Linked DNA regions of Mus musculus. The protein of the gene in region 1 binds, or shares a complex with, the protein of each later gene. Links are inferred from orthologs where the notes say so. Each region holds a gene or a part of one and is shown on either strand. Other genes may lie near its edges.

Region 1 (4,604 bases):
GAGAGAGAGAGAGAGAGAGAGAGAGAGAGAGAGAGAGAGCAAGAAATAACATTTAAATTAAATGTCTAATTGGTTAAGATAGTTATGTTTCTTATCACAATAAAAATGTATTAACTTTTTAAAGGGTAATCTAAAATACTGAAGAGATCTGTTATAAAAGTAACCTTAATATATTGCTACTGCAACTATAAAACAAGTATGTTTGAAGAAGTTTGGGAACTTTTTAAAAAATTAAATAAAACTCTGCACATGAGCCAGCAGCTCTACTGCTCAGTATCTATACCCAGAAGAAACAAAAATTATTTCTAATTAAAGATCTATACACAAATATTCACAGAAGAATTGCTCAAGTATCTTTTATCTGAGGAGTGAATAAACAAATTGTGAGTTGGACAGATGACCAAATGGTTAAAGTGCTCGCCCAGCAAGTGTGAGGACTGGGAGTTCAGATCCCCAGAAATCCAGAAATGCCAGGAGGGCATTCCCTGTCACTTGTCAGTCCAGGTCCATTAAGGCAAAGCAAGATGGTTTGCCAGAGCAAGCTGGGTAGCAAGATCAGAATCATAGGAACCTCTGGGTTTGACTACAAGACCCTGACTCAATAAGTAAGATGGAAGGTCAGTCCAAGTAACATCAAATTCAGCGAGCACACGCGTGCACACACGCAAAAGAATAAATACACATGAGAGAGAGGGAGAGAGAGAGAGCGAGAGAGCCCAAGAGCAAAAACAAAAGGTATGCTATATCTGTACAATAAATCACCTACTTAAAAGATGAATGGAACTACTAAAAAGGCAACATCGTAGATACATCTCAATAAACATTATTGTGGGTAAAAAGAAGCCAGACATGTGGCTATGGAAGTCATAAAATCACATTTATATGAAATGTTCAAAAAGCCAAAATATAACAAAAGAAAGCAGACCAAATTGTTCTTGGGTGAAAGGGGGTTAAGGACTGTGGAAAAGGAGGGAGCACAAGCTGACAGAACGAATGGTTGTGAAGGTTCAGTGGAGTGCTGAGTATAAACTGTGTTTGTCTGTCAGCCCTCATGGGACAGTAACCTTCCCCGTGTATTCATCTTTTATTGTATTTTAATTATATATCAAGGAAATTTTAAAAGCTGGATTAATTAGATCTCAAGTCACTAGGTATGTGATCCAGAATTCTCATTTTCTCACATTACACTTGTACACATCTTGTTTTCAAAGCAAGTTTTCACGATGAACTGCAGGTATTGGGCTTCCACGCTGGAAAAAGGATTATAAAGTCATCTCTACATTGCTACTTGCTCTATCTCACAAGGTTACTGTGAAATGAGATAACTGATGGGAAAGTTCTTTGGCAGCAGTAAAGTCTTACACAACCATATAGAACACTTACTCAAAAAGTAGATTTTGGTCACATTAACAAATTGAGACTCTTGTAATCTTGGTTACCCAAAGTCAGTCTCTGCACAGAAATAGAAACAGTGGTCTATTCAAATGTTATCTTTTAAATCTCTCTCCAGAGGCTGCTTCCCGGGTCTCTGGTTTTCCTAGGTGTCCCGGTGTATTATCTGGTGTTATCTGCACTTTCGCTTTTCAAAGGAAAAACAACTGTCAGATGACTACGGCACAAGACATTTACTTCCCATTACGAAGAAAAGCCACTGCCATGAAAATTCTTTTGTTAAGCTTGTTTCCAAAACGGTAACTGACCTTTTTCTCCCATTAAATATCAGTTAAATTACTTGCCATTTGATATTCAATCTCACACATTGTTTCCTGATGGGATCTGTATTATTGACAGCGTGGATAATTTGAAAAATATTAAAGCCTCTAAGACTTATGTAGTGCAGTCATCTGATACTTGGGCTTGCTGCAAAATTTGACACTGTTTCCCTTTTACTATTACTGTACAACTGAGTTCTCGGCCATACAGCCAAGTTTGTCTGATATGTGACATTTGGCCTAGTTACATGCGAAAGTTTCCATAGCGCATTATGGAAGACAAAACAATATCTTCTTCAAATACAATTCCACGGCTGAATTTAACCATTGAGCTAAGCTTCTATATATCTGACAATTCTAAAAAGTTACTGTACCAGCAACAGGTACTGCAATCAGAAAGAAACAAAGCATGCAATCACAAACAAACACACACACACACACACACACACACACACACAGCTACCGTTTTCCATTTGCAAGAAACTCCTTTTCAGTAACAGGTGTAAGAAGGGAAAGAAAATTCGACAGTAAGTTCTACCGCAAGTCCTCCTCGAGTCTGGTCAGTAGTAACCCTAACCACTTCGGTTTCGCATTTCTCCTTCGATAACACTAAGGTCGCTCGGCAAGAGAACTGCACAGCTCCAATTTTAGTTTCCAAGAAGCCTGACAGACCGCCAGCCTGCCCACTCGCTCCTCCAGCCTCCTCAGTGCTCCGCAGGTTGGCCGAACGCGCGACAGTCTGCACAAAGCCACCCGAGGGCTGCGGATCACAGGGAGACAGCAGCTCCCGGCCGGGCCCCGGAGGCCTGCGGTGAGGTCGCAGCCCGGGCAGCGTGCGGACCGACAGCCTCCCGAGGCCGCCGTGCTGGGGCTGGGGACGCGGCGCGTGGCGCGGGCGGGGCATAAACAGCCTAGCGAAGAGGGCAGGGGACCGCACGCCCCGCCCGAGGCCGCGACCCCTCGGGGGCCCGCGACGCCTCACCTGAACGCGCAGTCCGGGTCGCGGGCGTCTCGTCCCGGCGCGCCTAATCCGCTCCGCTTGCTGAAGAGCTTCTGGAACAGGGTGGGGGCCATGCTGGCCGCCGCAAGACTGGGGTCGCTCGGCTGGGAGCTCGCAGGAGGCCCCCCGCTCCTACCGCCACCCCGCCACCCCCATGGGCGCCTCAGTCATATGACAGAAATTAGTCACTTCAAACGGCCACGGCGCGCGGGGCGGAGCGCGAGATTGAGGTCGCGGCGATTGGCTGGCGACGAGCCGTATCACGTGGCAGCAAACTGAGCGGGGGGCGGGGTGGGGGTGGGGAGGCGGGGCCGCCTGCCATTGGCTGGCTCACGGGTCCGTCACGCGGCCTCTCACGGGGCGGGGCGTGCGAGGGCGCGCGCGGCTGGGTGGCAAGAGAAAGCCTCTGGGACCCAGGCCCGCCTCTGACCCTCCCAAACTGCTAGGGCTCTAGGAGGAGACCTAGGTCTGTGACTTGAGGTGCGGTTTCCATTGACGCCCGCACTTAGTCTCTAGGAAGATCTAGCGACTGGGGGCTCAGGCTCGATCTCCTTGGTAACCAAAAAGATCACAAGCAAAACCAAGAGAGGCAAGCAGCCGTAAAAAAAAAAAAAAAAAAAAAAAAAAAAAAAAGACATCTATCTAAAAATATCTAACCCTTTATGCTAAGTATTTAGAATTTGAAAGACTGCGGTTAAAGAGCTCAGTAGTTAGAGGCCCTGGGTTTGATCCTCATCACCAAACAAGAAGTTTAGCAAAATGTCTAAGAGAGACAATCAGAACTTCCATGAAACAAAGCTGTATATCTTTAATATCTGGGTATGAGGAAAGGAGGAACTGTAACATTGTTACCAAATGGCAAGACTGCTCTCAAAACGGAAAATACAGCTCACGAACATCCTTCCAGTCTTATCAAACCATCAGTGTTCAGATCAAATTCGTCATCCGTTTACCAGGATGAGGGATTTCGTACAGTGGAATGAAGTTCTCTGAGAAATGTGGATGAATGTGGGGAAATACTGGTGTATGTTTGCAAGGGTAGACAAAGACGCTTGAGAATTTCACTTAGCTAGACATAGGAACCAAATCTTTAAGAAGTTGTCAGCTGATCTGCAGTTGAAAAAAAATAAATAAGTAGCCCTTATTTACATGGGAAAAAGAAAAAATGCCGGGCAGTGGTGGCACACGTCTTTAATCCCAGTACTTGGGAGGCAGAGGCAGGCAGATTTCTGAGTTCAAGGTCAGCCTGGTCTACAGAGTGAGTTCCAGGACAGCCAGGGCTACACAGAAAGATCCTGTCTCGAAAAAACAAAACAAGAAAACAAAACAAAAGAATAAAAGAAAAATTAGCAGGATATTTTTATATCGTTAATAATTTATCACTGGTCAGCATGTTGAGCTGTTACAACATGTTACAAAGTCTCATGTTACAAGACTTTTTTATATTTATTGAGACAGGGTCTCTTGCTGGCCTGGAGCTCACCAAGTAGTGTAGGATGACCTTTCTGCTTCATCTTCTTTGACAGCACAAGAATCACAACCTTGCATTCCTTTGCCCATCCTTGAAGTAGATTCTGGGAATGGAATGCAGGTCTTCTTGTTCACACAGCAAGCACTTCATCTCCAGAGCTGCCTTCTGAAGGTGTTGGAGGAGGAGGGAGAAGTCTCCAGTTCACTCTCCTGTCTCCACCGCTCCAGTACACAAGACATTTAAAAAGCACTAATTATAGATAACTAAAACGAGAATTTGCAGCCAAGCAGTGGTGGCATACACTCTTAATCTCAACACTCTGGAGGCAGAAGAGGGTGGATCTCTGTGAGTTTGAGACTAGCCTGGTCTACAGAGTGAGCTTCAGGACAGCCATGGCTACACAGGGAATCAAAAAATAAAT
Region 2 (3,045 bases), on another chromosome or scaffold:
TTACAGCTTCCTTATATGCTTGAGAAGGTGTTTAGAGATAGTGAGGGGAATAACTCTGAAAACTACATGTCGTTTACGACTTTGCTGATTTAAGAACAATTGCCAGGCTTTCTCACTAATGGACTCAGCTGAGTACCAGGTGAGAGAGATCCTTTCTTGTCAGTACTTAACCTAAAGGCAAAAAGGCCGTGAGCGGAGTTTCTTTTTCACAAATAATTCTGGAGGAGATACTAAACTATAGGTTTATATTAATTTTTAGACACTTCTCACTATTCTCTAGGCCGTGGTACCCTGTCGGATGAGCACGCTGGAGTCATATCTGTTCTAGCCCAGCAGGCAGCTAGGCTAACCTCTGACCCCACCGACATCCCTGTGGTATGTTTAGAATCAGATAATGGGTGAGTACATACCAGCACACCCCTTTCTTTTTGTTCTGAAAAACTTGATTGGGCTTTCCCCTGCATTCAGTGGTAGTTCATTAGTCAATGCACCACAGAGCCATTGGACATCCAGGCCTCATGAGAACAGAACTTCATTAAAATAAGAACTATCAGTTTGCCACTCCAATAAAGGAAAAACAGTAAAAACACAAAAAATGATTAGCTGCATAGAATTCCCTAAAGTAAGGTCTTAAAGATATTCCTAGATAAAGATCTTTATTCAGATGCTAAGTGATAAAAGGAAGAAAACAAAACTGTGGGGCTGGAGAAATGCCAGTGCTTAAGAGCCACAGTCCCGAGGATGAGAGCTTATATACTAGTACCCCAGCACCCACACAACAAACACCTGCAACCTCAGCCCTCAGTCAGGGGCGAGGGGGTGGGCAGAGATGGGAGGATTGTTGGAGCTGGCTGTCCTCCAGTGTAGCAGAGAAAATGAGGCTCAGGCTCAGGGATAAGACCACACATCAAAGGATAGTTGCACAGTAATAGAGGACACCCAGCACCTTCTTCTGACCTCCGTGCCTATACATAGGTGTGTGTACATGCACACACCTGTATGTGCACACCTGCACAGAGATAGAGTATGTGAACCTTTAAAAATGCATACTTTGGTCAGTTTGGGGCAAGGGAAAAAGAAGATATTAATATCGATATATGTATAAATATATACAAATTAAAATTAGAACCAGGAGCCAGCAAGATGGCTAAGCAAATAGACGTGCTTGCTGCCAAGTCTGATGACTGGAACTCCATACCTGGAACCCACATGACTGAGGAGACAAACACCCTGACGTTGTCATGCAAGCAGTGGCACACATACAGACCCCCAAAATAAGTAACATAAATAAGAATTAAGAGCTGGGGAGGCGGCTCAGTGGTTGAAAGCACATGGCACTCTCCCAGAGGACCTGTGTCAGTTCCCAGCACCCACATTTGGAAGTTCACAACCACTTATAACTCCAACTCCAGAGGAACCAACACCACTCGCTGGCCTTCTCAGGCACCAGTGTGTATAATGACACACACGGACAGACACATACATATATTTTTTAAAAATCTAATCTAAAAATTAGGACCAGGAAGGAGGCTAGGCTAGTGATAGCATGTGCAAGGCTCTAGATTCTAACTCCAACAATACCACCAAAACCTCCAGGAAAAAATAAAAATCAGAATCATGTTGAGTAGTAGGGTTAAGGATTACTTTTTAAAAATTTTTTTTAATTAAAAGGATTAATTTCTTTATGTTATAATTAGATTTGCCCACAATCCTCAACTGTTCATGCCCATCTGTGCTATTTATTTATTCATGTTTCTTAGCGGAAGACTTGGCTCTTGGTTTGAGAATGTAGTCCCCTTTCTGGGTGGGAAGTATGGAGAGGCTATGGCACTAGGGGTTGGTGACGGACACCTGTCAACAGGGACTGTTCATATTTGGTTTTGTATGAGAATATAGATAAATATGCTGTCATCTAAACATAAATATATTTAAACTAAATAAATTTAATCTTACACTGAGACACATGCATTAAGAGTTTGCTGAATATTTTCTTTTTGGCTTTTCAGGAACATTATGATCCAGAAACACGATGGCATCACAGTGGCTGTGCACAAAATGGCCTCTTGACATCTGATGTCAGCTCTCCAGTGGCCTCTCACCGGGATTCAGTCATGCCTGTCTCAGCTCATTTGTAAAACTATTAAAGTTCCAGAAATAGGCCATTCAGTTAATGTCCAATGTGGACTCCCTTATTTATATGACAGCCAGTTACCAAGACATCAGTTAGAGAGGAGCAATTGTTTGGGCTTTTGTCACTCTGCTCTTTGGTGACAGTCACTGTAGTCCAGGATCACAGCCCATCATGGCCTAGAACTATGTAGCCCAGGCTGACTTCAAATGTATGGTCTTCCTGCTTTAAACACATACATCCTGGAATTAAAGCATTTGTCACTAAGGTTTAGGTCACTTTGTATATAGAACTTCATTATGGCCAATAAACCTGTTCTGAGGAAAGTTTGGTTCATTTCTGGTCTTTTAAAATTCCTACTTAATGCTCACTTTTCTTTTTTCAGTTATCAAATTGTGGGTTTTTTGGTTTTTTTTTTTTTTTTTTTTTCTCTAAAAGATCTCTATCCCAAACTACTTGTTTCTCTTTCGGTGTCTTAAAATGTCTGTGTTCTTATGCAAGGGAAGATGGATCAAATATTTCCCTCAACCTAAGTGACAAAGGACATATCATTGAGTCCTTAGTAAGACCAGAAACTTATTTCTCATTATAAAATAGGATAGGTACTCCTGGTTGTTGTGTGTAACCAAAGCCTAGGGGCTAGCATGGTCACCATCAGAACTTAAGAACTTAACTGACAGAAGGCGTGTGTGCTTTGCTTTGTTTGGTTGGTTGGTTGATTTTTCTGAGACAGGGTTTCTCTGTGTAGCCCTGGCTGTCCTGGAATTTGGTAGACCACGTTAGCCTCAAACTCAGAGATCTGCCTATCTCTGCCTCCCAAGTGCTAGGAATAAAGATGTGCGCCACCACTACCCGACATGGACAGACTACATTTTTACCATCATCCAGACCATCGAAGAAATAGGCATGTTGGATAA

Evidence for each region.
Region 2: Fnip1 (region 1) and Lamtor5 share a complex: the UniProt entries of both Homo sapiens proteins name them as parts of the lysosomal folliculin complex. The link is inferred for Mus musculus from reciprocal best matches to the Homo sapiens genes FNIP1 and LAMTOR5.

Annotation. Positions count from the first base shown.
Region 1 is NC_000077.6:54,436,479-54,441,082, reverse strand, and holds the start of Fnip1 (folliculin-interacting protein 1), read right to left. Parts: upstream 2,905-4,604; 5' UTR 2,787-2,904; coding exon 2,695-2,786; intron 2,689-2,694; exon of another isoform or gene 2,176-2,688; intron 1,453-2,175; exon of another isoform or gene 1-1,452. UniProt on the Homo sapiens protein: Binding partner of the GTPase-activating protein FLCN: involved in the cellular response to amino acid availability by regulating the non-canonical mTORC1 signaling cascade controlling the MiT/TFE factors TFEB and TFE3.
Region 2 is NC_000069.6:107,281,629-107,284,673, forward strand, and holds the end of Lamtor5 (ragulator complex protein LAMTOR5), read left to right. Parts: intron 1-280; coding exon 281-398; intron 399-2,006; coding exon 2,007-2,067; 3' UTR 2,068-2,454; downstream 2,455-3,045. UniProt on the Homo sapiens protein: As part of the Ragulator complex it is involved in amino acid sensing and activation of mTORC1, a signaling complex promoting cell growth in response to growth factors, energy levels, and amino acids.